Drosophila melanogaster: one gene and its partners. The main gene of each other region encodes a partner of the protein of the gene in region 2 in a complex. Each region holds a gene or a part of one and is shown on either strand. Other genes may lie near its edges. A codon is read from its position in the direction of its gene.

Region 1 (6,439 bases), on a different chromosome or scaffold from region 2:
TGCGGATTGCAGTGGAGTGGACCTGGTCAAAGAAGCACCGTTAATGTGCTGATTCCATTCGATTCCATCCGGGAATGCGATAAAGAAAGGCTCTGATCCAAGCAACTGCAATCCGGATTTCGATTTTCTCTTTCCATTTGGTTTTGTATTTACGTACTTATGGGAAAGCATTCTAATGAAGACTTGGAGAAGACTTACGTTATATTCAGACCATCGTGCGATAGAGGATGAGTCATTTCCATATGGCCGAAATTTATTATGTTTACTATCGTTTTTAGAGGTGTTTTTTGGACTTACCAAAAGAGGCATTTGTTTTCTGGGATTATTCAACTGAAAAGATATTTAAATTTTTTCTTGGACCATTTTCAAGGTTCCGGATATATTTGAAACACACTAGCTAGCAGTGTTGGTAAGTTACATGTATTTCTATAATGTCATATTCCTTTGTCCGTATTCAAATCGAATACTCCACATCTCACAGGATGTTGTACTTGAGGAATTGGCGATCGTAGCGATTTCCCCCGCCGTAAAGTTCCTGATCCTCGTTGTTTTTGTACATCATAAAGTCCGGATTCTGCTCGTCGCCGAAGATGGGAACGAAGCTGCCAAAGCTGAGAGTCTGCTTGAGGTGCTGGTCCGGACGGCGTCCCAGCTGGATAACCTTGCTGTACAGATCGGCATCTGCCTGGAGGGCACGATCGAAATCCTTCCAGTGGACGAACTTCACCTGCTCGCTGGGAATAGCGTTGTTGTCAAGCAGCTCAAGGAGCGTATTCGAGTTGACGGGCTGCACCACGTTAAGTTCCTGCTCCTTCGCTGGGGATTCCCCTGCGGGTAAGCGCCGCTTGCTTGGACTCGTTTCCAAATCCCATAGCCACGCCAGCAGAGGAGTAACAGAGCTCTGAAAACAGTTCATGGTTTAAAAATATCCTTTAAGAAAGCCCATGGGTATAACTTACGTGCTCACTGCGTCCTATGCGAGGAATGGTCTTTAGGTTCTTTATGGCAAAGTTCTCGCCTCGCTTGCCCAGCCGCGGTACGTTCTTGGTGATCTTTAGGAAGAATCCTGGACTACTGTCGTCTGCCTGGCTTATGGCCACAAGACCCACCAAGAGCGAAACAGACAGGACTGTTATGATTCTCATGCTGATGCGACTGAAGCTTCACCTGACTCCTGCTCCACAATTGGTGGCCTTTATATAGCGAGATCCACCCGCATCTTGCGTGGAATAGAAATGCGGGTGACTCCAGGAATTAGCATTATCGATCGGAAAGTGCAAAGCAGATAAAACTGAACTAACCTGACCTAAATGCCTGGCCATAATTAAGTGCATACATACACATTACATTACTTACATTTGTATAAGAACTAAATTTTATAGTACATACCACTTGCGTATGTAAATGCTTGTCTTTTCTCTTATATACGTTTTATAAATTAAAATTAGTTTATTTTCCCAAAACAGGGCTTTACCAACTAAATGATTCGGTACAATTTTTTTTAAATAAATAAATATACAAAGTATTTCTGATCTGCTGCTAAATCAGAGAGCTTTGCGCCCACTGAGCAACCTCTGTGGGAAGGGCCTGGTATCGCTGCATACAGTGGTGAATCTGGCTGTATGTCAGCGCCAGCTTATGCATCTCAAACTCTTTCTGCACCTTACCTACGCCCCCTCCAGCTCCACCGGTGAGCGGCATGATCAGCTCTGCGATGCGTAAATGCTCGAAGGCCTTCAGGACAATGGACCGCTCCACGGCCTGCATTGTGGTGGACACTTTGGCAAACTTGGAAAAGCGCGCGTAAATGATCTCGAAGTTGAAGGAATCGCGATCGTAAATCTGCGAATGGTGCTTGATGGCGATGATCAGGCACAGCTCTAGGACTGAGAGCCCGCAAAGCAGCTCTATCTTGTCGTCGCCCTCAAACTGTGATCCCACTGCAGCCATTTTTTCGGCTGTGATGTGGGGAGATTGCGGTCGGAGATGTGCCACCAGGCGGAATAGGAAGTTCTTGAGATAGGCCTCGCTAATGTCGAAGTCATGGAGCGCTTGGAGGGTGCTTCTTGCCTGCTGAGTGGCCAGGACTTTGCATATTTGCTTGTTCCAGGCATCGCGTAGTCTGGGCGAAAAGCCGTACTCCCCGGGGTCAAAATGGTTGCGGGAGAAGTAAAGTGCCCCCGACTGGATGTTTTGTAGGTTATAGATTTTCTCCGCCGCCAGCAACAGTGAATTGCCGGTCGGGAGGGACAGTAGATCCCTGCACAGGTCAACGTAATCCTCAAAGCGCCGCAAGCTGGGAAAGAGAAAGACCTGCCGGTGCGAGAAACGCGACTTGACCCGCTTCTCCAGCAGCTCGATCACGTCGAGGCGACAGGTAACGCCAAGTACACAGATGGGCGCCTGGGCTGACTGGGAGACGTCGAAGAGGTTGTAGAGCAGGGTCTGGTTGTGGTGAGCACAGAAGAGGTCGAACTCCTCGAGAATAAAGATCACGCTCTTGGAATGCTTGCCACCCGCCTTGAGGCATTGCAGCAGGAAGGCGAGGTTCTCGGCGAACGATCCGAACACTTTCCCATCCGCAGCGTTCTCCAGCTGCATCTGCACAGTGATGGACTTCAGGGCCACTCGGTCGTCCGTGTGCAGATTACCGTCCAGGTGGACGATGAGAGTGTTTTCCCCGAACGATTTATTGGGCAGCAAATCGGCCAGCACGGAGTTGATGAGCTAAAGAATTTGAAAGCATAGATTACTGGATTGGTTTCCCGGTAAGGCCTGCACTCATACCGTTGTCTTTCCGGATCCCCGCGGCCCAAGGAGCAGCAAGGAGTTGGATTCCCCCATTTCAGCTGTGCGTTGCAGCAATAGGCGCACATTGGACCGCTCCTTTGCGTAGCCCCTCAAGGTGGTGTAGTCTCGCTGGAGGCGCTCCTTCAGGAAGCGCCTGATGCTGACCAGCTCCCTATCCGCCTCCGGCATTTTCGCTCTCGGATCGGAACTCCTTTATTCCTCCTTATTTATTAGTTAAATGGACGCACAGATAGTTTGGATTTCTGCCAGTAATTAAGTCGCGCCAAAAAACGTCAACAATGCATTGGGGATGGAACAAAACCGATATTGGTTCATTTAATGTACGGTGGTTTGGAACTCTGATACTACTCAGTGTTGCCTTAAGCCGCCTGAAAAATATATTCGTGCCACAAACCAATACGATCTAATTTCTGCGGCTTTAGCACATTTTGAAATATCAACATTTTAGTTCATACAAAATGGACCTACGATTGAGGAATATGTACAATAGTAACTCTATAAATAACAATCAATTATACATATAAACATCTTTAAAAATATGAACAAATTTCTTTATTAATCGCATAGTCGTTGGCATTTTGAGGGTCAATTTGCTGGAATAGGTTTATTTGGAATGCTGTGTATTTTAAATGTCCATTAAAATAAGTTATTAAACACTCAATGGATTCTCAGAGATTATTTAATATCGGCTGGCAATTTCATAACAGCAATGGATCGAGTAATCACAATTAATAACTTTTGGAATGCTTCAGCTTTTGGCACTCGGTATTGTGGTTATTGTGATCCAGACCTCTTTAGGAATGAGCGGATTGTGGACTTTTCTGCTGATTTTTATGTCTCCGATGGCAGTAAGAATCGAATGCGTATGGCTAATAGATGGCACTATAGAATAATTGATATCCAAAGATCCGAGGACACTTCGAATTCAATAATGTAGTCTGCCTCGTGCGCGACAGGATGTTTATGGACTTTGAGTACTGTTACTTGAAGTCCGTGAACCGCACCTACAAGTACCTTTCGCTAAAAACAAAGATGTTCCGCCTGCCCGTCGACAACTGCGAGGTAAGAGTATAGAACTGTGTCGGTCTCACACCACCCGACCATCTTCCAGACCAGATTCCAGCTGAGGATGCGCGAGAACAGGCGAGTCCTGTACAACTTTGATTTCAAGGTGGACTCCTGCAAGTTCATGCGCGACCGCAAGCACGTGATCGCCAACTGGGTCTACCAGACCTTCGGCCCCTACTCGAACCTGAACCACACCTGCCCCTACGACGTGAGTGAGCGTTGCCATGTTCATGCCGCATAACCTTCGCCTTTCTCACCCACCCACCCACAGCACGACATCGTGCTCGACAAGCTTCCCGTGCAGCATCTGAACAAGCTGGTCCAGTCGATCATCCCCGATGGCAGATACATGATGAACAGCACATGGATGGTCGCGGGCATTCCGCGCACCGATGTCATCCTATACTTTACCAAGAGCTAAACAGTCAAATCCAGTAATATCCAGGCTCTTCAACCCGTAAGCAGAAATATTGGTAAGGTGTTATGCCGTTTTAGTATTGGATGGGGGTCAGCAGGACCAATATAGTAAATATAGTAAGTCTAAGTGGGTCTGTATGTGATGTATTTGTCACATTACTGAGATTTACGAAAATAAATATAGTGTAGTGACGAAAGTTAACTTAAACATGTACATAGGTTTCAGACTAGGCCAGTTCGTAAGCGTTAACAATTATGTGCAGAGTTTCTGCACAGGTGGCTGGCAGTGACCTGGATGCACTGCACCTGTCGTCTGTCAAGTGGCTGCTAATGCGATTAGGGAGCACACAGAAAACGGGATTGGCACTCGGGACTGGCAACTCAGCTGCCAATCAGGTGGGCCAGCCACAAACTTCACACATTTCGGACACATATATCAATCCACTCCACAACCAGAAGGACACGAAGTAAAGTAAACACAACCCCACACCCCTGACAAGATGCCGGCGGACATAGTGACCACGGAGCAGCTGCGCTACCAGCTCGCCTTCAGTCATGCCATGGAAAGGACGACGAGGCACTGGCAGGAGACCTTCGCGTGGTACCCTAAGATGCAGTGCTGCCATTATCAGCGGATTGACCAGATCTATCTGACGAGTCGCCAGCGGTACGGCGACGGCCACTTCCTCAAGTACGCCAACCGCAGGCGCCTGGCAAAGAAGTTCGTGGTTACCGCCCAGGAGGTTGCGGAAGGTTTGGAGGATCTGAAGATGCTGGAGCAAGACGGCATTACGGGCCTCAAAGTTGCGGTCACCGAGAACGGGGAGTACGGCCGAATGAAGCCCTCCAAGCTGTACATGTGCTAGGACACCCTGTGACCAGCCGGCCCGCTCTGCTCCCCAATCCTCGCCAGAACCCCTCACGATTAAACTATCATTCTCTGCTGACAATGCAACTCTCAATGGCCGTCACTCATTACGCGATTTTAGCATGACCGTGCGCATAATTAACAAGGTGAAAACGTCAGTCCCACCTGCAACTGCTTGCCCCGCCCGCCTCGCCGCCGTAGCGAGTGCTCACTGTACCTTCTCCTACTGGGGCGCAGTTGAAAAGTTCACACAGGTAATTAAGTGATCGCGTCTGTCCACTCCATGAGATGACTTGCCTCGCTTGTTCGGGATCTCGGAAACTGCTTTATGGCGCCCATAAACTGGGAAATATTATGCTCAGTGAATTAATTATAGATACCATGCGAATCTTAAGGATTTCGTTTAGGACAGTCACTTCGCCTGATAACTGATTGATAAATTTACAATTGTGAAATATAATCTGGGATACTGTTTGCGAAAATATAGTTATTTCGGGGCACGCCGCACTGCGAGTTCCTTGATAAATGTGTCCATCGACGCAGCTGCTCCTCCTGCGATTGCAGACGTAAGCCCAGGTGTCGTGGGCCAACTTCGAGCAGTATGATTTAAAAGTTCCATATGCAAATTACCCTCAAAGTTTCCGGCGAGCCCATCCGTCTATCGGAGTGCGTGGTAGATGGAAATGCGAAAGTGGCAAGTGGAAATGTGAACTGTGAAATGGGGAAAATAGGAAATGCAAATGCCCATGCAAGTGTGCAAATTACACAAAGGACGCTAACTTTGGGCCAACTTGCGAACTGGGCCAGCGACTCATTAGACACATGACAGCATTCACAGAGTGGGTGGTGGTTCAATCGGCCCAATGTGCGGGGAAGGGGAGGTGGATCGTCAGGTGGGCAGCGGCAAGTGCGTGTGAAAAATCAGCCATCAGCAGCCCACAGAATCGCCAAGCGCGCAATTAAACGGTAGCGGATAATTGCTATCGAAAGCCATAATGATGGCCGGATCAGTACTTACCCCGACTCCAGTATATGCTTCCATATCTTGATGCGGCTCTCCAGAGGAGAGCTTTGTGCGCCTTTCTCGGCTCTCATTGTTCACCCGATTTTCCCATCAGCATCGCATCGATGCGAACTTTTCGAGACCATCACCTTATTTCTGTTGACTCATACTCCTCCCAATCCAACGGACGGACAGCCTCTGATTTTGGCGGTGCTCAAGACTGAGCAGTGGTGACAGTCGAAAAAGCAGGCCAGAACGAGAGTTGCTGCGCT
Region 2 (6,357 bases):
GCCAATGCATCGTTTTGGGACTCGTGGCTGAGTTGCGTCTGCAGGTTTGACAGCTTGTTCTTCAGCACCTGCACACCCATGACCACAATGTTCTCAGGCTTAAGGGCACCGGCGGATTCGACGTTGAAGAAGAACTTGTTTGGCTTGGCTTCCCAGTTGTAGGGCGCCTCGTACTGGTCGTCCTCCAGTTCGGTGTGCTCGCTCTTTGGCCACTCATCAGGTTTGGGATACAGAGTGTGTCGCATGGAGTTGTCCGGATCATACTCGAAGCACACGCCTGCGGTAGGATTCCACTTGGCGTGCTCCTTGCCAAATCCCTTCTTGGCGTAGGCGCGCAGCTTCAGCTCCTGCCCCTTGCGCAGCTTAATTATGAGGATCTCATCGTTGCTCTCGCCGTACTCGTTGTCCTCCTCACCCTGGTTGCGGGACGTCACCGGCAGGACCTTGGCATTGCTCGACTTGAGATCGGCGGTGGTCACGTGGCGCGTCTGTTCCTCGCTGCACTTTACGTCCAGGGTGAACTCCACGCTGCATTCGGGGCAGAAGTCCAGGCAGATACAGTCACGCGTGTACTGCAGCCGCTCCACGACGTCGTCGGAGATCAGCGGTATCAGACCGATCCGGTGGGCTAAAAACTCATCCGAGAGCACCGTAGAGTTGGCTTCCAGTTGCACCCAGTCGATGGCCAGCGTCGGCGTCTCCGCGATGAACACTCGCCGCAGGCTGTTGGCCACACTCAGTTCCGTGTCCTCCAGGACGAACTTTACGTTGTCGTCCGTCAGCTCGGTTATCTGCACGGACGGCTGGTTGGCGTACGGCATTGCGGTTTTGTTTTGATGAAATTAAAGGGTCACGAAAAAAATAACCCGCTCAGTGAAAAGGAAGCGATGGAAGTGCAGCAATAACAGCCGGCGATAAGTGTGCCGTTATCGATTGTTGTTCTCGTTTCGGATTTATAGCTAGATTTTTAACAATAAGGGCTGGATATATTAAATTGAACAAATGTGATGGAGACATGTTTAATTAAACTAGATCACAATAACAAGAAAATTGCTTTAAATTAAGATAGAATAAACACATAAATCAACATTTTTGCAAGGACAATACTTTTCAGATAACATTTAGCTGATTGTTCCGAAACTCAGTTCCACCTCTGATTTTGTGCTGGTGAGAATGTTGCGTCTGTTCAGCAGCCGTTTTTACTGCAAAATTGCAACAAAATCGAATGAAAAGGCCACTAAATTGGACTTCAAGCAGCTAACGCATCCCACCAAGGTGCCACAGACACCAGTGGACTCGAAGTTTCCCGACACCAGCGCCTCCGAAATCCAGATCGACACGAAAACCATCCAGTTGCTGGAGCGGCTGTCGCTGGTGGATCTGGATAGCGAACGAGCGCTGGCCACGCTAAAGAGCAGCATACAGTTCGCGGACAAGATTGCCCATATCAACACGGAGCACGTGCGTCCACTGTACACGGTCCTGGAGCATCAGCAGCTCCAGTTACGCAACGACCAGGTGACCGAAGGCGATTGCCGGGCGGAGGTGCTCCGGAACGCCAAGGTGACGGACGAGGACTACTTCGTTTCGCCGCCGGGCAACATTCCGCTGGAGCAATGAGTCGCATACAACGATGCTTTAAGTCCCTGGCTTCCGCTGGCTTCTTTCGCACCGTGGAAGACAATAAACTGGAGCTACTGAGTCATGGAAGGGAATACGCCAAACTGTTGCAACAGCATTGGACACGACTACGTCCCTTGGCTGCGCACCTGGGCGCCACGAAAGAACCCATAAATCCAGTCAACATCCAGCGTTTTTCCTTTCCACAAAGCCAGCAATTCCGTAACAATTTCCAAAAACTCGTCAAAGATCATCCTCGAAAGGCCAAATGTCCCACTCTTCTGAAACATCAAAGCACTTGTTCTGGTCCCACTAGCAATTCCCTATTTGGGATAAAGGGTCCTACGCTACATTTAACCACGGACTTCCTAGTGGAACCACATCGCGCACTGGAGCACTTCTACAACATGCAGCGTGAGAGCAAGATCTGGTGGATGCGTCTTTCCTCGAATCCCAGTCGCTACCGCATCGTACCTTGCGATTTGGCTGAGGATCTCAATCCCAACGACTATCAAGCCATCGATATCCGCACGAGCTACGGTGATGCAGGAGAAGTGACCGTGGAGCAACTGAGCCTGGTGAGAATAGTGGACGACAAAGACTTCCGGCTGCCCGATGCGCGAACGGGTGAAATTGTGCAACCGACTGTCATAAGGTCTGTGATAGAGCTGGAAACTACCACCTGCGGTAAGTGGTCATCATAACTATCTTTGAAAATCTTTCTATATTATTATCCTTTAGCTCTGCTTCTGGATGGCTGTGATCATGGCCGGGACTCGCAATCCCTGCTCTTACACCGCGTTCTGGCGCCATATCAATGTGGAATTGCCTGTGTGGAAAGTGATTCCGAGCTATCTGCTGACTTGTCTGATCTTTGTCAGCATCTGAAACATGTTCTCAACCACGCCGGTCTTAGACTTTCTGAAGGGGATGGAATTCGTACGACGAAGAACGCTTCTCATTTAGCAGAGCACTTGCTGGAAACGGATATGCTCGGCATACCTTATACACTTGTTATAAACGAGCAAACGCTAAGAAACGGACTGATGCAGTTGCGCAGCCGGGACACAAGGCTGGCGGAGACCATACACATAAGCGATGTACCGGACTATTTATTAAATATATTTAAAAACTAAAAAAAACAACCAGGGGCTACATAAAGTCGCAGAGATATTGGCGGACATTAAAGCCCACCACCTTGCCAATCTGCAGGACAAACTCCAAGCCAATGGTGCACTGCAGCCTAGCGGAACCTTCCATTATGTTTTGTTCGCCGGAGACGAAGCTTAGTAGATTGAGGTGCACCAAAGTTGAGATCTGGGAGAGAAGGTTGCAGGTCAGACCGACTTTCTCCTCTAGAATGGCGTAGAAAATGGCCAGCAAACGATCGATGCTAAAGGATTTGGGTCCCAAAGTGGTGGACATTTTCTCCGTGGTCTAAAAGGTATTAAAATAAGCAAATGGAGTCATCGAAAAATTGAATAACCCACCTTGGCTCTGGCGTTGACCGTCTGCATCCGCTTTCGCTGTTTTCCATGGTGCTTGACGAACAATCGCTTGTCCTGCTTGGCGGCATTGTGGCTGGCTAAGAAGGCAGCGATCAACAGAAATTTGGCATAGTAGGGCAGCTCCAGCGACTGCGCCAGCTTGCGAACGCTCTGATCTTCTATGGCGGTGAAATCTTCAACTTCTTCCGCGGGTTTTTCAATTCGCATATAAATCTGGGTTAAGGCGGAACGCAGTGGTCCAGCTATATGCCGCCAAAGCCGGGAGATGTCCGTGGCATCCACAGTGCCGTCGAGTACAGGCTCCAAGTATGTGGACAGACACTTCCTGGCGGTCAGCTGGAGCTCTGGAACATCGCGACAGGCTTTGTAAAAGACGCTCAGAAAGAGATTCAGATAGTTGTTGTAGAAGTCTTCAGTTACGGCTTCCTGGCAAATCTCCAGACGCTTCTTATCCTGGGCGAACTGTTCCAGCAGTTGATTTCGCACCTGCTGAAAGTCAGATCCCAGGATGCGCTGTGTCTCCGCCTTGTTGTACTGCGCCAAGTGCAGGCAGACGATTTCACTAAGTCCGGTCTTGTTGTAGAACTTCTCAAAGGGCAGCTGGGAGAGCAGAATAACGCACAGATTCAGGTTGGTCAGCTCCTGCAGTCGGAGAAGAACGGGCAACACATTGGCATCCATGTCGCGCAGCCTTTCCGCGTTATCCACGGCTATGAGAAATCCCTGATCCTCCACGCGTGTAGCGGCCTGCCGACGCAGCTGCTCCACAAAGTCCAGCATGTTGTCGACCTTCAGCGCATCACCTTGATCGGGTGCCAGCGAGTCTAACAGGATCTCCAGCATTATCTTGGTGGTGTAGCATTCGATGGCATTTAAATGCGCTGTGCGGACATTTTGCCGTTTTCCACATTCTTTGAGGAAAGCTCTGGTCAGAGCTGTTTTGCCGGTTCCACTGTGTCCGAATAGGTAAATTGCCGAGGGATATGTCTCACTCGAATCTCCTATCAGCTCGCCCAGCGTTTCAATGGCCGCCTCCCGACAGGGAAACAGCGGCTCCAAGGAGGAGCAGATGGCTTCCATAGCTGTCGTCTGCTTTTAAGTTTCCTCAGCTACCCACAGGCGAAGTGGTGTTATTTAAACGGGCTTTCAAAAGGGAAAATACTTCCTCGGTTTATAAAATAACAAAAATAAATTACGAGCCAGCCAGTTATTAAAAATTTGTTTACAAGAAATGGTTTCTGTTTAGTGTGACCATTGAAATGGCGCCAAATTATTCCCTCTGGTATATACCGAACGTGCGTAACAGCACTGGTACCTTAGCATTTTTCAAACAATCGAAAAATATCGATATAACGAAATAACGATAGTATTGAGGGCCATCGATTTTTGTTCCAGCTCTAATTTCGGGTGATTAATTTTGTGCATTACTTTTCCAAAGAGTTTTTTCCACAACGCTCTACTCTTCCGGCCCAGGCAAAGCCAGAATCCATCCCAGCAACGCCAGCTTAATCGTGTTGACGGCCCAGAGTCCGCGATTAAAACGAGAGCGAAGCTAAAATCCAGCGGAAACAACGCCCAATTGCTACACAGCGATATCCAAAATCCGAAAATCCGGCGAACCGAACCGAAGAAACTACGCGTGTGGTTGGATTTGGACGAGCGAACACTGCACATTCCGAGCGCATTTAGCCACCCACGATGGCCGAGACATACACCTTTGGCACCTCGCTGGCCTCCATCACCTGCCACGCATGGAACAAGGATCGAACCCGTAAGTGCGACCCAAATTACTCATCCGGCACAGTGTGACTCACCACCACCCACTCCCAAAAATTCGCAGAGATTGCCTTATCGCCCAACAACCATGAGATCCACATATACAGCCGGGAGGGCAGCGACTGGAAGCTGGCGGACGTGCTCAACCAGCACGATCTGCGCGTCATGGGCATCGACTGGGCCAAGAACACCAATCGGATTGTGAGCTGTGCCGCCGACCGTAATGCCTATGTGTGGACGCAGGGCGACGATGGCAAGTGGAAGCCGGCGTTGGTGCTGCTGCGCATCAATCGGGCGGCAACCTGCGTCAAGTGGTCGCCGGCGGAGAACAAGTTCGCTGTGGGTTCGGGCGCCCGACTCATATCCGTGTGCTATTTCGAGTCGGAGAACGACTGGTGGGTGTCGAAGCACATCAAGAAGCCGATCCGCTCTACGGTCACTTCGCTGGACTGGCATCCGAACAACGTTCTGCTGCTGGCCGGCTCCACGGACTACAAGGTGCGCGTTTTCTCGGCCTTCATCAAGGACATCGAGGAGCCACCGACGCCGACGCCGTGGGGCAATCGCAAGCCCCTTGGCCAGCTAATGGCCGAGTTCCGCAACTCGCAGACCTCGGGTGGCGGCTGGATTAACAGCGTGAGCTTCTCCAGCGACGGTAACAAGGTCTGCTGGGTGGGCCACGACAGCTGCGTGAGCATCGCGGACGCTACCAATGGCAATACGGTCATTCGATGCCGCACCGGCTATCTGCCCTTCCTGTCATGCGAATGGGTCTCGCCCACGTCCGTCGTGGTGGCCGGCTATAGCTGTGTGCCACTGCTCTACAGTCTGACTGCCGATGGAAAGCTGGTGCTGAGCGGCAAGCTCGATAAGTCGCAGAAGAAGGAGTCGAGCGGCATTACCGCCATGAGAATCTTTCAGTCGATGGACCGCAACATGCGCACGGAGAACACGGACACGGTGGTCGATTCCATACATCAGAACGCCATCACCAGCGTGCGACTGTATGCCGGCGACAAGGCGAGCGCCACCAAGGTGTCCACCTCGGGCGTCGACGGGCAGCTGGTCATTTGGAATGTGGAGCAGGGCGGCATCAATGGCGGCATGCGCAACCTGCAGATCTAGTGCGGCCCGGAACGGACCAGCGTTACGTGTTATTGTCTGTTAGCGAGTGTGTTGGCCTGGCCAGGAGCGAAGTATTTGCCAAAATGTTTTCCAAAATCGCTTTTCCCATTGTTCTGTACCGTGCGAAAGCCTTTTTACATAAATTAACCGAAGAGATTGTTCTTTCCCCCCCCCCCCCCCCACCAACTTCCATAATGGTTCCGAAAGTGTGTGTGTGTTTTAAAGTGTTTCACCTTTATAGCAAACTGAATAAAATGTTTTTTATTCGTAAAATCAAATGTTAAGTGTTTGTTTTTTAATAATTAATCGTTTCAAGCAGCAAGAAATT
Region 3 (7,118 bases), on a different chromosome or scaffold from region 2:
AGTTCTAAACTTTAATTTACTTTTCATCGCTGAATTCATGCCTGAACTTTTGTTTTTCGATTCCCCTCGTCTTTTCTTAAGTATCTAAAAGTATCTAAATTTCAATATCAGACGCCTGTTTCTCTTTGTTAAGCGCAAAATGTAATTAATTTGTTGTACAAAACTATAAAAACAAACAAACAAAGCATTGTCGAAATAAACGCAAGCAGTAGCAATTTGTGTATAATAAGCCGATAAAAGTGAAAAACCAACAACACTCTTGCATCGATTCATTTTGTAAAAGGGGAGATTCTCTTGGGTGGTTTCTCTTCTGATTGATTCAGAACCACATTCTGCCATTCATTCCCACAAACGAAGCTTAAAAAAAAGGACGAGCAAAGTAAACGTGATAACAATTATCTAACTATTAAAGAAAAAGTAAATGTGCGGCGCAGGAGATAAGACATTTTTATATGCAAAAATGCTGATCGCAAACTCGGTGTGTACAATTCAGGTATTCAGGAAGGGGTAGAATTTTGCAATAAACTCAAAATAATATTAATAGGAGCCAGCCATGAACGATTCCCCATTGTATGTGTACTTCCGATTGACTTCGCATGTGATTTGCTATCAAGAAAGTGTAAATAAACTAGCCTTAGTCGCAGCAATTACATTTCGTTTCGAGTGCACAATTAACTAGTTACAAGTCCAACGCTTTAATCTGTGTATGTGCGTGTCTGTATAGTGAATAGGTAACCGATATTAGCCTTTGGAATGGATGAGGAGCACGGAATGGTCAGGCGGTAGTGAGTCTTATCATTTTTGGCATGCTTAGCTATGTTTAGTTCGCCTCTTCTGATCCTTAAAATCGTATCCAAATGCGCTCTCATCCCCGCAGTCGTCGAGCACTTGCAGTGCTTTGTGAAGTTTTGTGTTGCTATATGCTCGCAACTGGAGCTGAGGAAAAAAACTAGCCATCCTAGAATGTGTATCTTCGAGCAAAGCGACAAATTTTATGCATGCCAATCTTAATGTGTAGAAATTGACAAAAAAATAAAAAAGAGCGAAAACAAACACTGCGCACTCATCATGGGCAATACAAGTGACAGCAACACAACATTTTTAAAAAGCGAAATTGTAATTGTATTTAACAATATTAGATAATAAATTAATATGTTCTAAAATTACGCCGATGGCCTATTTCTTCTCCTGCTCCTCGAGAAACTGCTGCAGCAGTGCGCCATCAATGGGAATGGTTAGCTGTTCGGAGCCATCAACGCTCCGTTTCGATTTGACCAGCTTGTGGTCGAGGAACTCGGTGAGCTGGGCACGCAGTGCCAGATCTGAGCTGACCAAAAATGCTTCGCGACAACTCGAATAGAGATCCCTGAACGGCATGCCCTGGTATGTGGCATTGCCCTTGTTCTTCAATTGATACTTAACAATCAGCATGTAAATGCCACGCGAATTGGTCGTTAGCGATGAGAAGACACTGCGCATCGAGGAGAGGGCCAATTCGCCGGAATTCTGCACCAGCAGCGAGTTCTCGAACGCAGTTTCGTTCGTATATGGCAGCATTGTTGTGCAGTCCCACCACGAGAAGTTGAAGCTGCACAGCTTTCCCTGGTCCCACACTGCAAATTCGTAAACAATAATTAGTTTTGCTGTCGCACTATAAAGATCTCAAAGCATCGGTGCACTCACACAGTGGGGTATTTATGTGATCAATGGAGGCCAGTAGATGAATGTTCGGTATGCGCGCCAGGCGCGAAAGAATCGCCTGTGCCTTCACATTGCGAAGCATGGCTCCATCCAGATTATGGACGATTAAGAACAAATGTGTTTCCGGTATCAGTGCGAACTCCTCCTCGATCATATCCACTGCTTCATGTGGATTAGCCGGACTAATGCCCGCATCTAATATGTCGCTTGTGATGCTATCCAGCATATCCTTGATGGTCAGACTGGGAAAGAAGCCATTCACCACCAATACCGTTTGCTTATGCAAAACTTCCCGATGGAATGACTGCAGCAGCTGGTGCTTGGAGCCCAATCCATATAGAAGTATATTGAAGCCTTCGTTCAGAATACACATCCACTTGGGAAAGTACGATCGATACTCCTCCATAATGGCATTAATAGAACCCTCATGCTCCGCCGATGTCTTGATTTCCGACAGCAAACTGAAAACACGATCGGCGGCCAGGCGAGGATTCTTTAGGCGATCCAAGGTGTGATCCGAAGTGAGGATCTTGCTGCTGGCATGCGAGTGAAAGTAACCATCGCTCTCGGGCACAAACTCATTCGATTTTTTCGCCCTCGCCGATTGTCGCAGGCGGGCTGCCGATGGAGTTTTCGGCAGAACGGGGACTACAATGGCACGGCGGGCTCTACTGGGCGTTTTGGGCTCATCATCGGCGGCGTCGTTGTCAGAGGAGTTGCCAGCATCGCTGCTACTGCTGCTGGAGGAGGATTCCTCGTCACTGGGCCGGAAATCGCTTTCATCTCCAGAAAAATCCTCATCTGAGTCGGCCACTATTTTGGCAATCTCTGAAAGTGATAATGAATTTATAAATAATGGAAAAAATGGTAAAAGGACGCAGAAAAAGGCTACCCACGCTTCTTGACGCGGGTGCGCACATGGGCGGGAGTCTTTGGCTGATCCATGGACTTCTTGCGCTTCGTATCCGGCGTCTTGACACCCAAACGCGGCGTTTTTGGGGTCTTGGGCGTGCAGGGCGTGGCATTTAGGGCGGCCAGTGCCATGGCATCGCGTTTCTTGGGCGTATTGAAGCCAAACATGCTGGTGCCGGCCACATTGTACTCGGATTGGATGAGATGCAGATCCTTGGCAGCGGGACGGGCAGCATTTTCCGACTCCTCGATGCTTTCTTCTTCTTCCTGATCCTCCGCATCGCTGCTCCGTTCATCGGACATTTCCACATAGTTCACAACAATTCGCTCTTCCTGGCCTTTTCCATTGCTTTCCTTCTGGTACGCCTGGTATTTCTTGGTGGGACTTGGACGTCGGGTGGAACGCCGACTGGTGACCTTGGGCTGAGATTCCACTGCATTCCCAACCATTGCCGTGTTCAAGTCCTCGGATTCCTCCTCCGAATTGGTGAGGTTCTCAATGGACATGAGGTTCTCCTTCCGCGGCGTCTTGTAACCGCCTTTGTTGCTGGCACTCATGACGCTTGCCACTTCACTGGGGGCCCTGATTATCAAAATATTCAATTGGTAAACAAATAGTTCGCAAAATATACTCAATGCTCAGAAGTGGCGGGAATTATCGATAACTAAGACATGCCAAGAGTGTGGCCAGCTCTCGACCTAGGAAGTAGCTAAGTTTCTAGCGTAAAAAAAACTAAAGGGGCATGACAATTAAAACACAAATGTTATAAATATTTGTATAAATATATATTTATATAGGTAATAATTACAAAAAGAAATTCCGTGACACAGTTTTTAGAAATAACTATATTGTTCGAATAAGAATTGCATACGTTATCGATAAATTTAAATTAGAATCCAGTCACTGACAAAAGCTGAAGTGTTTGTTGGCAACACGTGCGCGTACAAAGCGGTTATTTTTTCACTGTCACAAATTCCTTGCGGATTAACCACAAACGTTTTTAAAACTAAAAAGTGTTAAAATCGGTAAGTTTAGGAAAAACAATATTTGAAGATGGGAAAATTACGCTACGTTCTTATTCTGAATTGCGGTCGTCAATGGACTTGCGGTTAATTTTCAAATAATATTGCCTATATTGGCAAAATAATAACACAAAGTAGATTTGCGTTTTCAGATATATTCAAACAGGTTCAAAGAGTATTCAACTTCCATGAAAATGGCTTGGCGAAATTGATTGTAACTGGAATATGTAGAATATTTAGCATATGTTGTGTCGTTTTAATTAAAGTTTAAAAACTTCGTAAGCCTTATTTTTCCTTTTTTAATTAACGATCAAGTTTACTTCCATCAGTGCGCTGTAAATCGAAAACCAACCGATATCGATATCGTCCTGTTCTCTTTCTTCCCACGTTCGTTCAATGCACTGAAGCGCGTGCCCAGCGAGCTTCGAATTTAAACGCGTTTAGTGAACGTATCGCATGTTTGTGAGTTGTGAATCGCGCACTTAAATTCTAAAGGATTCCACCTTTTTCAAAACGAAAACATAGAAAGTTCTCGTCCAGCGTAAATAGATTTTCACTTTGTATTTCATCGCGTGCTAAAAGTTCTGTTAGCGCCATTTTGCTGCGTTTCCTTTAACGCGCCGTTCTTTCATTCACACGTTCTTGCGTTGTTACTTTGAATTGAAGAAATGGAAAAGTCGGAGGAAAAGACATGCGTCGTCTGTGGCACTCCGACCAGATTGATGTGCCAGCGGTGTGGAGAACCGTACTGCAATGAAAAGTGCCAGAAATTGGATTGGCAGAGGCACAGGCAGGTGTGCATCATTATGCCGTGAGTTAAATTAGTAAATCCGTTGCGCAGCAGTGCATTAAGTTAGGGGTTTTTAATTCTTATACAATACAAATGCGTTTCCAGACCCTTGGTGGAGTGCCGGCCTCTTCAACCGGCGTTGAATCCAATCCAGAGCGTAGAGAACCAAGTTGCTCTGGCTAAAACTCGCACTAAATCGCCAATCCCATGTGTGGAGCCCACAGTTGCTGTGCCGAACAAGCCGGATCTATCGGAAAACTGGCGCAAACATTTGCTGCCGTCGGGCATGGAGTTTTTCAAGTGCCGCGTGACTTTCATGGAGAACGATGGACCCATTTGGGTGGTGCACGTGGCGAATGTGGAGGCCATTGAGCGAATGACGGTCAACATGCAGCGCTGCATGCAGAATAAGAAGATGATTCGTATGGAAGGAGTGCGGGAGGACACCCTCGTGGCCATCAGTGTGGGCGACAAGGTCCATCGCGGTCATGTTTTGACGGTTTGCCAAAAGAAGCAAGAAGCCAATGTCCGTATGATTGACCACGGTCAGATAGTAGCTACACCGTTTCGGGATATCTACACCATTGTGCCCAAGATGGCCGAAAGCAAGGCGTTCGCTTTCCGTGTTCAATTGCCCACGAACACTGGAGTTCAGGACATTAAGAACTTGACGCTCCGTATGTTGGGAACCAAAACCAGCGACGGAGCTTATCACGTCCATCTAAAGCCCAAGATGATAATACCACTAAGTTTGCCCTTGGAGATGCTGCAGCTTAATCCAGAAGTCAAAGTCATCCGGGTCTTTAAGGCAAATCCAAAGCATAACGAACCGCAGCTGGCCCTACTCCAGATCAACGTGATGGGCCATGTCAACGCAGACTTAAACAACCGCATAGCCGAGAAGCCAAGACAGCCATTCACGCTGCCCTTCCCCGAGCAGAAATCCATCTTCTTTGCGGCCACCCGCACTAAAAATGGTTATCGGCGAGCTTTCCTATTGGATCATATCATGAAACCGAGGCCAACCTATTTGGTTTACGAAATGGACGAGGGTAGAGTGTCCATAGCCACCGATCTGAGTCGTATTCCCAGCGAACTACTTGGCCTGCCCAGTCGAGTGTTTGCCGCTCAGCTGGAGGACTCCGTACCCGAGGAGCTTGAGACTCAAGGTGCAGAACTCACGGTCAAGTTTAAGCTGGATAATAAGCCGCCCAAGGAAAAGTTACGCGCGGCGAATGCCGCCTTGAATTCCAAGGGCGAGCAGATATGTATGGCCCGTCTGATCACTTTCTTGGGTCAGATTTCATATTTAGGCCACAAGTACTGGCGTGAACCCATCGTCCATGATTCCATCGTATTCATTTCCCACTTGGTCAGCTTTAAGGAGGTATACATCAGCACTCCAGACGCCAAGCAGTATGCGGAAATTTTCAAGCGCCTGGAGTACAAGTGCGCTACCATTACCAAATCTAGTGATGTTTCCGTTGGCAGCATCGTGCTCGTTGTCTCCAAGCAGATGGGTCACTTCCGGGGCGAGGTTTGTCGATATTTATGTTGCAGGGTTTCAATCAGTAAAGTCTATGAACTTTTCGAATTTTACAGATATTGAGTAAGGATAGTGGATTGTTCGAAGTAATGAACGTTGATACTGGTGCCACCCAAAAGGTGGAGTTGGCGGAAATACGCAGCTCCTGTCGCTTCCTGGAGAATTTGCCCGTATGTCTGATGCGTGTACAGTTGCAGAATGTCTGCAATATTCCGGATGCAGCTGTGCCAGTTAACAATGCGGCCATTCAAATGCTGCACAAGCTCTGCGCCCAAAAAGAACTGCTAAAATTGAACATGGTAGATGCAACTACATCGACCGTGGACCTGCTGTTCAGCTCCGGCGATTCGCGCTCCTTGACGACCCAAATGTTGCCTCTTATATTTACACCGGTACAGGAAAAAGCAGAAGTTGCACCACCGAAGGCTGCTTCTACTCCGAGTCAATTGCCTGTTGTAACTCACAAACAGCAGAAGGTGTCTCCACAGTCTCTACTTCTGCTGGATCTGCCTCCACTGCCGCCCTCTCCACCGGAGTCGCCTTTTCCTGCCGACGTGACAAGTACAAAGTCAGCTTCCCACGTTCTGCCCATTAAACGCTTCCTTTTCGACGCTTTGCCCAAGAATCTAGCTCCTTTAGGCGACAAGGTCAACCTAATCCTTATGAACGCTGACGGATTGCCGCAAACTGGCTACATCACCGCCGCCTACTTCAAGGACGAAAAGGCGGCCAAGGAATTTGAAAAAATCCTTAGCTTGACATCAAGTCAGGGAGCATGTGACCACAATGTTGTTCCGGGTTACGTACCAAAGTAATGCGCTTTCGATATTTGCTTGTCCTTTTCTTAACACGCACTTTATCCCAATTGCAGCGTTGGTGAACTGTGCCTGGCGATCTACAGCGAAGATAAGAACTGGTATCGCGGAGTCTGCCAGGAGGTTAAGGACAATATGGTCAAAATTCTATTCTGCGATTTTGGAAATACGGAATATGTGGCCGTGAGACACGTGAAACCGATTTCACAGGATTTGCTAATTGCCGTCAATGTCACAAAGTGCTATATAAATGGTATGCGCATAATCGCATTCAATTTTTGCCCGGATCACCATTAATAAACACTTCGTTGCAGGCTTCGACAAATCAAAG
Region 4 (8,607 bases), on a different chromosome or scaffold from region 2:
TCATCGCTGTGATCCAGTTTTGTTGAATCGGGCTTGGCGTATAATATAGTAGCAGACTTTATTGGAGTTTCGTCCGAGGTGGTAAAAATAGTTGGATCTTTCATCTCTGCGCAAATCTTTTGGTCCTGTGTGGCTAGGTTCTCTTGATTTAAAGCGGAATCTGTGACAGCTGCTGGCGCTTCACCATGGTTGTCGACCTTTACAGCAAAATGGTCGATATTCGCCATCTTGGGCAACCGAATATCCTCAATAATCCTTACTCCCAAGTCGGACTCGACCACGGAGTTAACTTGATCCATCGGTTCTCGGATCTCTGCTTCATCATTCTCATCATGCTGAGAACACACATCAGCTTGAGACGTCGTATTCTTTGATAATACTATGTTGTCGTTGCTTTCTTCTTTGCTAGGAGTTTCAACAGCAGTTTCAACTGCAAAAGGCTCTTTTTTGTCTAACTTTGCCTGTGTCTCTTCAGATTCTTTTCCATCCTTGAATTTGTCCAGGGGTTGCTCATCAGCTGGGCAATCTTCAGCTAAAATGTTTTTACATTTTTCAAGTACTACAACTTTGGGAATAGGCTCCTTATTTAAAAGTTGGTGGCCAGAGTCTTCTGTACGATCCTGTAAGATTACAGGATCTAACTTGATCTCATTTTTAGAAAAATCCGCCGATTCTGGGTTAATTAAGCTTAACCCCGGAATAATCTCATGTTTTGGAATACAAGGTTCAGCAATTAAACCATTTGTCGGTTGAGTAATATCCTTCGTCTCTACTTTTGATTCCTTTGAGGAATTTGCATTGGTTTCTAAAGCAGCATCCCTTCGGTTGGAAACGACTTTTTCAGCCGGTTGAGATTCAGTTACGAGTTTGACGGTCACGGGGACTGGGCTCTTGCTGCGTTGGTCATTTGTTTCATCGTCAGTAAGTGTGATGATGGCATTTGCTTTTTCTCTTGGCAATTGTATCTTGCTACAAAAATCAGATGGTGCTATCAACAAATGTAACTTATGTCCCTCTGCTTTACTGACCTGGGCGATGCGGATTGGCTTCGCCGTTTGGCGTGCCGGGAACTGCTTTCTTGATTCCTGTGATGATCTCGCCGGGAATTATGTTTTGGACTCCGGCTGCGATGTGGATCTGGACGACGAGCCTGTGCAGTAGATTTCCGATCGGTGGTCTTTGAGTGTTCCGGCCTGGGAGACTTGCTTCTTTGGACCGATTTCTTGGCGTCTTCTCTTGTCCTAGATTTCCAAGCATCATCCTTTGAGGATGACTTCTTGTCATCATCTTTATTGGTCGCCATCTTATTATCCTCCTTGGATTTTACGCCTCTTTCAACATCTTTTGATACGACTTTCGTTGTGTCATCTTTTTTGGTCATCATCTTCCTAGCATCATCCTTAGCGGCGTCCTTTGCAGCCGTTTTGAACGGATTTCTATTCGTTTCCGGATATTTCCTGACATCGATTGGTGTAGATTGAAATTCTTTCGGACGCTTACTTTCGGGTTCCCTTGCACCTGGTACGTCAAACGCCCGTGCTCGTTTTCGTCGGAAGCATACATCGTCCTTTCTGTTGAACAATGTGTTGTTTGTTAAGAAGCAGGGAGTCAATATGCTAACTTACTCGTTTCGCAGCTCGGCAATCAGTGTCTCTTTTCTCTTTACCTCCGCCTTAGCTGTGTCCAGTAGATTCTGTAGATTAACCTCCATGGTTTTTATCTTCTTGCCAAGTGCCTTATTCTCAACCTTTAGCGCTTCAATTTCGGCCAGTGCCTTTTCGTATTTGGCTTCCCATGCCTGTAGCTCCTTGGTATTCTGTGAGATGGTAAATGGGTAACTCTGCTGAAAGGACGTATTCCTGCACAACTTACACGATCTTCGGCCTTCTGAAAGTCGTCCAAATCATCGTAGATGTCCAGTTCAAGGGATCTGTCCATTTGGTCAGGCTTCTTTGAACCTGCAGGCTCTATATCGTACAAATCGTGATAGATATCCAAATCCATGGATTTATCCTTAACGTTGGACTTCATCCCGCCCGCGTCCTGGTCTTCCAAATCCATCAAGTCCTCCAGAGCTTCGGGCAGCACCAGTTCTCCGCCAGATTTCGTGGCATATGCAGGCGTTTCCATACCAATCGCTTACGTTTCTTCTTGGCTGCCCTTTAAACAAGGATACATAAAATGAATTGTTAGAGTTACTGTTTTTTAATGGAGCTACTTTATTGATTACCTGTTCAGTCATAAATTGATCAAAATTCGAAACACAAAAGAATTTCAATGTTCTTGATTTTTGTTTCAGGGAATAAAAGTTCCACTAAAGCTCAATGGTCACTGTCCTGAGCATTTCCTCCAAACTGGCGTGCAATTTGTTTCCCTGCCGTGTATTTGTATAAATGTAATTATTATTATTATTCTATTTAATATTGTTAGAAAATCCCGTGTTGCCGCCAATCGATAACAGAAGATGCAGTTGATTATCGGAAGCAACAGCTGACCGGCTGAAAATGTGGCAACCCTGATAGTGGATATCGATATCCAGCAGCAACATTTGGCGCCAAAACGAATATTTTAAAAATTTTATTATGCACTTACGTGTTTTCCCAAGAATATAATTTTAAAATCAATCTAGTTCCCATTTCGTATTACTGTACACTTAAATTCGTTAAAAAAAAACATCACAATACAAACAATAATACTCGAGAAACACTACACAATGGCAGACATTCCGGAAAAAAGTTCTTACTACAAGAAGGAAAGAAGAAAGTTCGCTCTGATCACTTACCTACTAACCGCGATATTCCTGATCCTTGCGCTGTTGCAATGGGCCACTTTCCGCTTTGTGTACGTATGTATTTTCACATTACTTCATCCTCACTGCACTTTTTCTTAATTTTCAGAAATTTTCTAAGGGAATTTTTTACTTCGTACCATTGGTTGAGCTGCCTTTTTTTTGGAATAGGCCTGATACTCCTCGTACTTTTCATATTTTTCGAGGTACTGCGCTTTAATAAAATGGTAAACTGGTTGTTTGCCTTTCTAATTGTAAGTCTACAATGTGAAACATAACCTGGGTGGCAGTATGAACTTATTCTTTCCAGTTTGAATGCATTGTACTGGGGATTGCACCGCTGGTTGCCCGCCACTACAAGTATCAGTTTCTCTTCAGCTTCCTTATATGGACCGTAGCATTGGCGCTTTTTATTGTCTGTGGTTCCTTTCTTCCGGTAAGAAGAGTCCACATGAAAGCCATTTGATTCAAATCTGAAGCTTCACATTTTTATTGTTATCCCCTTAAGCTGGATCTTACTTTGGATGTTGTGGTGCTATTTGTGCTTGCAGTGGTTTCCATTATCGGCGCCATATACTTCGTGATGCTCTACATCGTGGCTAATGTCGCATACTCGTTTATAATCGCCCGTTGCTTTATAGTGATCAGCATCTTGATGGTTAGTACTGAGTCATACATTTTTGAATTAGTTTCTGTCATTTAGTTTCCTCCTTACAGTTTGTCATGTATCACGCGCAGATTATAAACGGTGGAAGGTTCGCCGAGATGCGCACGAAGGACTACTTCCTGGCAGCCATCATACTGTTCCTCGATTTCCTGCTCCTCTATCTTTTCTCATTCCAAGTGGCCCCAAAATGGTCGGATCGTTGCGATGGCGAACGTTCAAAAAACTTGGTGCTGTTCACAGAAACTACGACGAATTCGTATCCACCAAAATGGTGGCGTACGAGCACGAAGGGTATGATTTCTTATTATTAGTTCATGTTAGATGAAATATTCAATTAATTTATACTTTTCACACTTGTTTTCAAAGATACCCCCTAAAGTCGTTAGCCAACACTGCCGCCCGTTTGGCGCCAAACACAACAGCCAGCTGATTTCATTTCGCGTTCCTACCGGTGAAGAAACTTTAATTGGCACAGAGCTGACCTAAACAAATAAATAAATAAACGCAACCCGGCGACTTAAAGACTCCACGACATCGGGCCGCAGTGCAAAGCCAGCGATGGATCCCACCATTTCAGTGTCCAAGGTGAGTGGCTTCGGCTTCCAAACTGGACATAGATGTTTAACTACTTATTTTTGTTGTCTGCAGGGCTGTTTTGTCTACAAAAATGGCGCTACGAGAGCAGGGAAAAAGGCGGCCAGCAAACGGAAGCGTCCTGCCGCAGAATCCAGTAGTCTTCTTGGCAAAGAGGTAGTGCAGCAGCCCTTCTATGAGGAATATCGCAAGGCCTGGAATCAGATAAACGATCACATTGCCGACCTGCAGCACCGCAGCTATGCCCGCACTCTGGAGCAACTGGTGGACTTTGTGGTGGGGCAGGCAGAGCGCGACACCCCGGACGAGGTGCTGCCCACCGCCGCCTTGCTAACGGGCATTAATCAGCCGGATCATCTCAGCCAGTTCACGGCACTTACCCAGCGACTCCATGCCCAACGTGCTGCAATGGTATGTGTGCTGCAGTCCAGGGATTGCGCCACTCTCAAGGCGGCCGTTGAGACATTGGTTTTCGGGCTCGTAGAAGATAATGCAGAAGTGGAGCAAATGGAAGACGAGGACGAGGACGAGGATGGTGCCGAACGGGATCGCAAGCGGCTACGTCGCTCGCAGTGCACCATGAAGCAGTTGAAGTCTTGGTACACGAACAATTTTGACTCGGAACAGAAGCGCCGCCAGCTGGTCGTCATCCTTCCCGACTTTGAGTGCTTTAACGCAAGCGTGCTGCAGGATCTTATTCTAATTTTGAGCGCTCACTGCGGCTCGCTTCCATTCGTCCTGGTCCTGGGAGTGGCCACGGCCATGACAGCTGTCCATGGGACACTACCATACCACGTCAGCAGCAAGATTCGTCTAAGGGTGTTCCAGACTCAAGCTGCTCCCACGGGCCTTAATGAGGTAATATTCCTTAACTCTGTGCTAGTTTATGTACTAATCGGTTTTCTAACAACCTTTAGGTGCTGGATAAAGTTCTGCTGTCGCCCAAGTACGCTTTCCACCTGTCGGGAAAGACATTCAAGTTCCTGACGCACATCTTCCTATACTACGACTTCTCCATCCACGGCTTTATTCAGGGCTTCAAGTACTGCCTGATGGAACACTTCTTTGGTGGGAATGCCTTTGCTCTTTGCACAGACTACAGCAAAGCATTGGGACGCATAAAGCAGCTGACCCACGAGGATATGGAAACCATCAGAAGGCTCCCATCGTTTCGTCCGTACGTCGAGCAGATCAATGATTGCAAACGCATCATAGCCGTGCTCACGGACGATGACTACCTAAAGAAGAAACTGCCGCAGTTGCTGCGCGACTGCCTGCTCCACTTCCTGCTTTTCCGCTGCTCTCTGGAGTTCCTTACAGAGCTGGTTGGTGATTTGCCGCGCTGTCCGCTGGGAAAGCTACGCCGGGAACTGTACGTCAACTGTCTTAATCGTGCGATCATTTCGACGCCGGAGTACAAGGAGTGCCTGCAGATGCTAAGCTTTCTGTCCAAGGACGAATTTGTTGCTAAAGTGAATCGAGCCCTGGAAAGAACCGAACAGTTCCTGGTTGAAGAAATTGCTCCGCTGGAATTGGGCGAGGCCTGCACTGCTGTGCTGAGACCTAAGTTAGAAGCTATACGCCTTGCAGTGGACGAAGTGGTCAAGGCCACCATGGCGACAATTACAACGACATCGCCCAATGAAACCCGCCAGGCGACTGACCATTTGACTCCGGTGGCCTCGCGTCAAGAATTGAAAGATCAGCTCCTACAGCGTAGCAAGGAGGACAAGATGCGGCATCAGCTGAACACGCCCACCACCCAATTCGGACGAGCTCTACAAAAGACTCTGCAGCTTATCGAAACGCAGATTGTACAGGATCATCTCCGTGCGCTGCAGGATGCACCACCTATTCACGAACTTTTTGTGTTCAGCGACATTGCTACCGTGCGGCGAAACATAATTGGTGCTCCGCGGGCTGCACTGCACACTGCCCTGAATAATCCACATTTTTACATGCAGTGCAAGTGCTGCGAGCTACAAGATCAATCACTGCTGGTTGGCACACTGCCCGATCTCTCCGTGGTTTACAAGCTGCACCTGGAGTGCGGTCGCATGATCAACCTTTTCGACTGGCTGCAGGCCTTTCGATCTGTTGTGAGCGACAGCGACCACGAGGAAGTGGCCCAGGAACAAATCGATCCCCAGATCCAGTGAGTAAAAAAATGGATTTCTCTCTGTAATATCATCAATTTCATTTGGTTTTCCTTTCAACCAGGGCCCGATTCACGCGTGCCGTAGCCGAGTTGCAGTTTCTGGGGTACATTAAGATGTCGAAGCGCAAGACGGATCATGCCACTCGATTAACCTGGTAGCTCGCTCGGGCTATGAATAACCAAAATCCCTTAGGTATTTTTATCTTTTCTATTTATTTATATTGGGGCAAATTTCATGTGTGGGACGTTATGAATAAATAAAACATCAATCGATTTGTCTACTCTGTACGAAATGCATTAACTTTGTTTGCGAGTGAAGCGCGTTCTTGTATTTTTTAAGTAAAGCCCAGCAGCTGGCAAGGCAAGCGTACTAAATATCAATTACCAGTCTTCCCGACTAGCGGTTACCACGTTCCCTGTTCACATTAGTTTCAGAGTCTCGATGGCGGCAGCGATGCGTTCGATCTCTGCCCGCGACTCGCAGAGTTTTGTCTCGTTGGCCTCCTGCACCTCGGCGGGAACCTTAGTTGCGTAGTCGGCGGCCTGGATGGCCTGAGTTAGCTTGCCCACCGTCTGCACCAGCTGGTCGCTCTTCTTCTGCAGCTTGGCTATCTCCTTGTCCGCCTCCACGAGTCCCTTGAGCAGCAGGTGCACCTCGCACTGGCCCGTCACGGTGAGGATCGCACAGCCCTGCGGTGCGGGACTGTCAAAGACCACATTGGAGCAGTAGGAGATTGTGGCCAGATCGCTGGCGTAGCGTTTGAGTATTTCACTGGGCACCGAATCCGTGCATACTATATACACCTCGGTTTTAACCTTGTTGGGCAGATTATAGTCGGAACGGGCAGATCGGATGATTCGCGCCGCCTTCTGCACAAATTCAACGTCCGATTCTATCTTTGTGCTGCGCCAGGATGTATTGCCTAGTTATGAGGAAGTTAAATTTATTTGAATTCTATCATCATGAAGAAATCAAATGCGACTTACTGGGATAGCTAGCCACGCAAATGCTAGGAGCGGGATTTGCCCTCGGAAGCCGCTGGTAAAGTTCCTCCGTGATGAAAGGCATGAACGGGGAGAGTAAGCGCAGTCCATAATCTAGACATACGTAGAGCGTGCGCCTTGCGGCGGTCTGCTGCTCCTCGCTGCCGCTCTGGAAGATCGGCTTCAGACACTCCAAATACACGTCGCACAGATCGTAGAGCCAGAATGCGTAGCAGGCGCTGGTCGCTGCAGCAAAGTCGTACGACTCAAAGCCGGTGTTGCAAGCTTCTATGGCAGCTGCCAAGCGTGACAGGATCCAGGCGTCCATCTGGTTGATCGCTGCAGACGCACTTAGCTCCGTGTCAAACTTCTCAGAGCCGGTGAAGTACAGCAGGGCGAACTTGGTGGCGTTCCACAGCTTGTTGCAGAAGAAACGATATCCCAGAACGCGATTGATGTCCAGGTTGATGTCGCGCGCTTGCGTGATATAGGCGCACAGCGCGAATCGAAGTGCATCCGAGCCGCACTCGGGAATTCCCTGCGGATAATCCTGTTTCTGTCCAGCCTTAGCCTTTTCGATCTCCCGAGGATCCAGGTTGGAGCCCACAAGTTGAGCATGCAGTCCCTCGAGCGTAATGCCACGAATAACATCCATAGGATCGATAACATTTCCCAGGGACTTGGACATTTTGCGTCCGTGCGCATCCCTCACCATGGGGTGAAGATAGACCTCCTTAAACGGCAGTTTGCCCAGCAGCTTCTGTCCAAAGAATACCATGCGAGCCACCCAGAAGAAGAGAATGTCGTGACCCGTCTCCAACAGCGATGTGGGATAGAACGTTTGCAGATCCTTAGTTTGGTCTGGCCAGCCAAAAACGGAGAAGGGAAAGATTCCCGAACTGAACCATGTGTCCAGGACATCTTCGTCTTGTTTCAGTACTATCTTGCTGGCGTCCACTCCAAAACGTTCGGCTGCCTTGGTCAGAGCCTCCGCTTCGCTGCGTGCTACAATCCAGTACTGCTCGTCGTCGTTCTAAAAATGAAACAAATAGGAAAATTTTAATTTGTCTAATTTAAAAGTGTTGTCTATAATTTATAGAGTTATGTTTTGGTTTTTTACGCACCACACTTCCATGAGCAGACTAAGATATCCAACGAAATATATTACCCATACAAATTATTATTATCCAAAGTAGATTTACTCACCGATCCAGTTTGAAGAGAAGGGTCGGTGAAGCTGACATGGTATGCCGGAATCCGGTGACCCCACCACAGCTGCCTCGACACGCACCAGTCGCGAATACCGTCCATCCAGTGGTACCACGTCTTGGTGTGATGCTCCGGAATGATCTTTAGTTCTCCGGAGCGCACTGCCTCAGTGGCAGAGGCTGCCATGTCCGAGCAACTAACATACCA

What was found.
Region 1: the proteins of Orc5 (region 2) and Orc4 are in contact, whole or in part, in a crystal structure (PDB 4XGC), measured with the Drosophila melanogaster proteins. Residues at the interface, in NP_477132.1 of Drosophila melanogaster: Met1 (codon at 4,208), Glu2 (codon at 4,205), Glu20 (codon at 4,151), Glu24 (codon at 4,139), Leu25 (codon at 4,136), Asp28 (codon at 4,127), Ser30 (codon at 4,121), Glu31 (codon at 4,118), Thr32 (codon at 4,115), Tyr33 (codon at 4,112), Pro34 (codon at 4,109), Ser35 (codon at 4,106), Phe40 (codon at 4,091), Gly41 (codon at 4,088), His42 (codon at 4,085), Asn100 (codon at 3,911), Met101 (codon at 3,908), Leu102 (codon at 3,905), Val105 (codon at 3,896), Glu106 (codon at 3,893), Arg109 (codon at 3,884), Arg115 (codon at 3,866), Arg132 (codon at 3,815), Asn137 (codon at 3,800), Val141 (codon at 3,788), Arg144 (codon at 3,779), Gln146 (codon at 3,773), Leu148 (codon at 3,767), Asn150 (codon at 3,761), Leu151 (codon at 3,758); in NP_477320.1 of Drosophila melanogaster: Val9 (codon at 2,955), Arg12 (codon at 2,946), Arg13 (codon at 2,943), Lys16 (codon at 2,934), Glu17 (codon at 2,931), Gln20 (codon at 2,922), Arg21 (codon at 2,919), Tyr23 (codon at 2,913), Arg58 (codon at 2,808), Asp89 (codon at 2,655), Asn91 (codon at 2,649), Leu92 (codon at 2,646), His93 (codon at 2,643), Val98 (codon at 2,628), Ser102 (codon at 2,616), Glu147 (codon at 2,481), Tyr250 (codon at 2,172), Arg253 (codon at 2,163), Asn254 (codon at 2,160), Asp257 (codon at 2,151), Glu260 (codon at 2,142), Tyr261 (codon at 2,139), Ala299 (codon at 2,025), Tyr300 (codon at 2,022), Asn303 (codon at 2,013), Phe306 (codon at 2,004), Arg307 (codon at 2,001), Ala310 (codon at 1,992), His311 (codon at 1,989), Arg313 (codon at 1,983).
Region 3: the proteins of Orc5 (region 2) and Orc2 are in contact, whole or in part, in a crystal structure (PDB 4XGC), measured with the Drosophila melanogaster proteins. Residues at the interface, in NP_477132.1 of Drosophila melanogaster: Lys169 (codon at 3,704), Ile382 (codon at 3,012), Cys401 (codon at 2,955), Asn402 (codon at 2,952), Leu404 (codon at 2,946), Ser405 (codon at 2,943), Ile407 (codon at 2,937), Ser408 (codon at 2,934), Thr409 (codon at 2,931), His412 (codon at 2,922), Asn424 (codon at 2,886), Ile425 (codon at 2,883), Met426 (codon at 2,880), Glu427 (codon at 2,877); in NP_731873.1 of Drosophila melanogaster: Asp438 (codon at 1,792), Arg443 (codon at 1,777), His468 (codon at 1,702), Asn470 (codon at 1,696), Thr471 (codon at 1,693), Pro472 (codon at 1,690), Leu473 (codon at 1,687), Leu474 (codon at 1,684), Trp475 (codon at 1,611), Asp476 (codon at 1,608), Gln477 (codon at 1,605), Leu480 (codon at 1,596), Trp487 (codon at 1,575), Ser521 (codon at 1,473), Ser524 (codon at 1,464), Glu564 (codon at 1,344).
Region 4: the proteins of Orc5 (region 2) and Orc3 are in contact, whole or in part, in a crystal structure (PDB 4XGC), measured with the Drosophila melanogaster proteins. Residues at the interface, in NP_477132.1 of Drosophila melanogaster: Ile72 (codon at 3,995), Glu73 (codon at 3,992), Tyr75 (codon at 3,986), Ile79 (codon at 3,974), Glu82 (codon at 3,965), Asp86 (codon at 3,953), Asp94 (codon at 3,929), Arg130 (codon at 3,821), Tyr291 (codon at 3,338), Met292 (codon at 3,335), Arg293 (codon at 3,332), Ile294 (codon at 3,329), Glu295 (codon at 3,326), Leu319 (codon at 3,254), Glu320 (codon at 3,251), Leu321 (codon at 3,248), Pro322 (codon at 3,245), Tyr323 (codon at 3,242), Tyr324 (codon at 3,239), Ala325 (codon at 3,236), Asp383 (codon at 3,009), Leu386 (codon at 3,000), Ala387 (codon at 2,997), Tyr390 (codon at 2,988), Val397 (codon at 2,967), Leu399 (codon at 2,961), Thr400 (codon at 2,958), Cys401 (codon at 2,955), Asn402 (codon at 2,952), Leu403 (codon at 2,949); in NP_476904.1 of Drosophila melanogaster: Ile105 (codon at 4,389), Gln107 (codon at 4,395), Leu140 (codon at 4,494), Lys141 (codon at 4,497), Val144 (codon at 4,506), Cys183 (codon at 4,623), Thr184 (codon at 4,626), Met185 (codon at 4,629), Lys186 (codon at 4,632), Gln187 (codon at 4,635), Glu213 (codon at 4,713), Cys214 (codon at 4,716), Asp222 (codon at 4,740), Leu225 (codon at 4,749), Ile226 (codon at 4,752), His230 (codon at 4,764), Ala243 (codon at 4,803), Thr244 (codon at 4,806), His250 (codon at 4,824), Tyr255 (codon at 4,839), Ser258 (codon at 4,848), Ser259 (codon at 4,851), Arg262 (codon at 4,860), Leu263 (codon at 4,863), Ala270 (codon at 4,884), Pro272 (codon at 4,890), His302 (codon at 5,039), Ile303 (codon at 5,042), Leu305 (codon at 5,048), Tyr306 (codon at 5,051).

The regions. Positions count from the first base shown.
Region 1 is NT_033778.4:24,794,314-24,800,752, forward strand, and holds Orc4 (origin recognition complex subunit 4), read right to left. Parts: upstream 3,102-6,439; 5' UTR 2,980-3,101; coding exon 2,788-2,979; intron 2,728-2,787; coding exon 1,540-2,727; 3' UTR 1,427-1,539; downstream 1-1,426. Other genes in the region: ETH (ecdysis triggering hormone), read right to left, coding at 476-901, 960-1,145; CG12849 (uncharacterized protein), read left to right, coding at 3,612-3,659, 3,718-3,873, 3,923-4,087, 4,151-4,300; CG3611 (uncharacterized protein), read left to right, coding at 4,797-5,162.
Region 2 is NT_033779.5:13,827,888-13,834,244, reverse strand, and holds Orc5 (origin recognition complex subunit 5), read right to left. Parts: upstream 4,409-6,357; 5' UTR 4,209-4,408; coding exon 3,111-4,208; intron 3,058-3,110; coding exon 2,773-3,057; 3' UTR 2,757-2,772; downstream 1-2,756. Other genes in the region: Polr2C (RNA polymerase II subunit C), read right to left, coding at 1-821; GatC (Glutamyl-tRNA amidotransferase, subunit C), read left to right, coding at 1,174-1,620; PolG2 (DNA polymerase gamma subunit 2), read left to right, coding at 1,617-2,307, 2,362-2,756; Arpc1 (Actin-related protein 2/3 complex, subunit 1), read left to right, coding at 4,827-4,899, 4,969-6,029. UniProt on the Drosophila melanogaster protein: Component of the origin recognition complex (ORC) that binds origins of replication. DNA-binding is ATP-dependent, however specific DNA sequences that define origins of replication have not been identified so far.
Region 3 is NT_033777.3:13,961,061-13,968,178, reverse strand, and holds Orc2 (origin recognition complex subunit 2), read right to left. Parts: upstream 3,295-7,118; 5' UTR 3,246-3,294; intron 3,188-3,245; 5' UTR 3,172-3,187; coding exon 2,598-3,171; intron 2,530-2,597; coding exon 1,684-2,529; intron 1,614-1,683; coding exon 1,177-1,613; 3' UTR 1,104-1,176; downstream 1-1,103. Other genes in the region: Kots (kotsubu), read left to right, coding at 4,305-4,447, 4,532-5,963, 6,029-6,783, 6,844-7,040, 7,102-7,118. UniProt on the Drosophila melanogaster protein: Component of the origin recognition complex (ORC) that binds origins of replication. DNA-binding is ATP-dependent, however specific DNA sequences that define origins of replication have not been identified so far.
Region 4 is NT_033778.4:13,200,615-13,209,221, reverse strand, and holds Orc3 (origin recognition complex subunit 3), read left to right. Parts: upstream 1-2,674; 5' UTR 2,675-2,713; coding exon of another isoform or gene 2,714-2,841; intron 2,842-2,897; coding exon of another isoform or gene 2,898-3,042; intron 3,043-3,098; coding exon of another isoform or gene 3,099-3,224; intron 3,225-3,296; coding exon of another isoform or gene 3,297-3,446; intron 3,447-3,505; coding exon of another isoform or gene 3,506-3,746; intron 3,747-3,821; coding exon of another isoform or gene 3,822-3,832; 5' UTR 3,833-4,013; coding exon 4,014-4,040; intron 4,041-4,103; coding exon 4,104-4,907; intron 4,908-4,966; coding exon 4,967-6,204; intron 6,205-6,269; coding exon 6,270-6,366; 3' UTR 6,367-6,494; downstream 6,495-8,607. Other genes in the region: FLASH (FLICE-associated huge protein), read right to left, coding at 1-969, 1,029-1,571, 1,626-1,816, 1,873-2,130; CG34315 (uncharacterized protein), read left to right, coding at 2,714-2,841, 2,898-3,042, 3,099-3,224, 3,297-3,446, 3,506-3,746, 3,822-3,832; ValRS (Valyl-tRNA synthetase), read right to left, coding at 6,628-7,130, 7,195-8,224, 8,316-8,333, 8,398-8,607.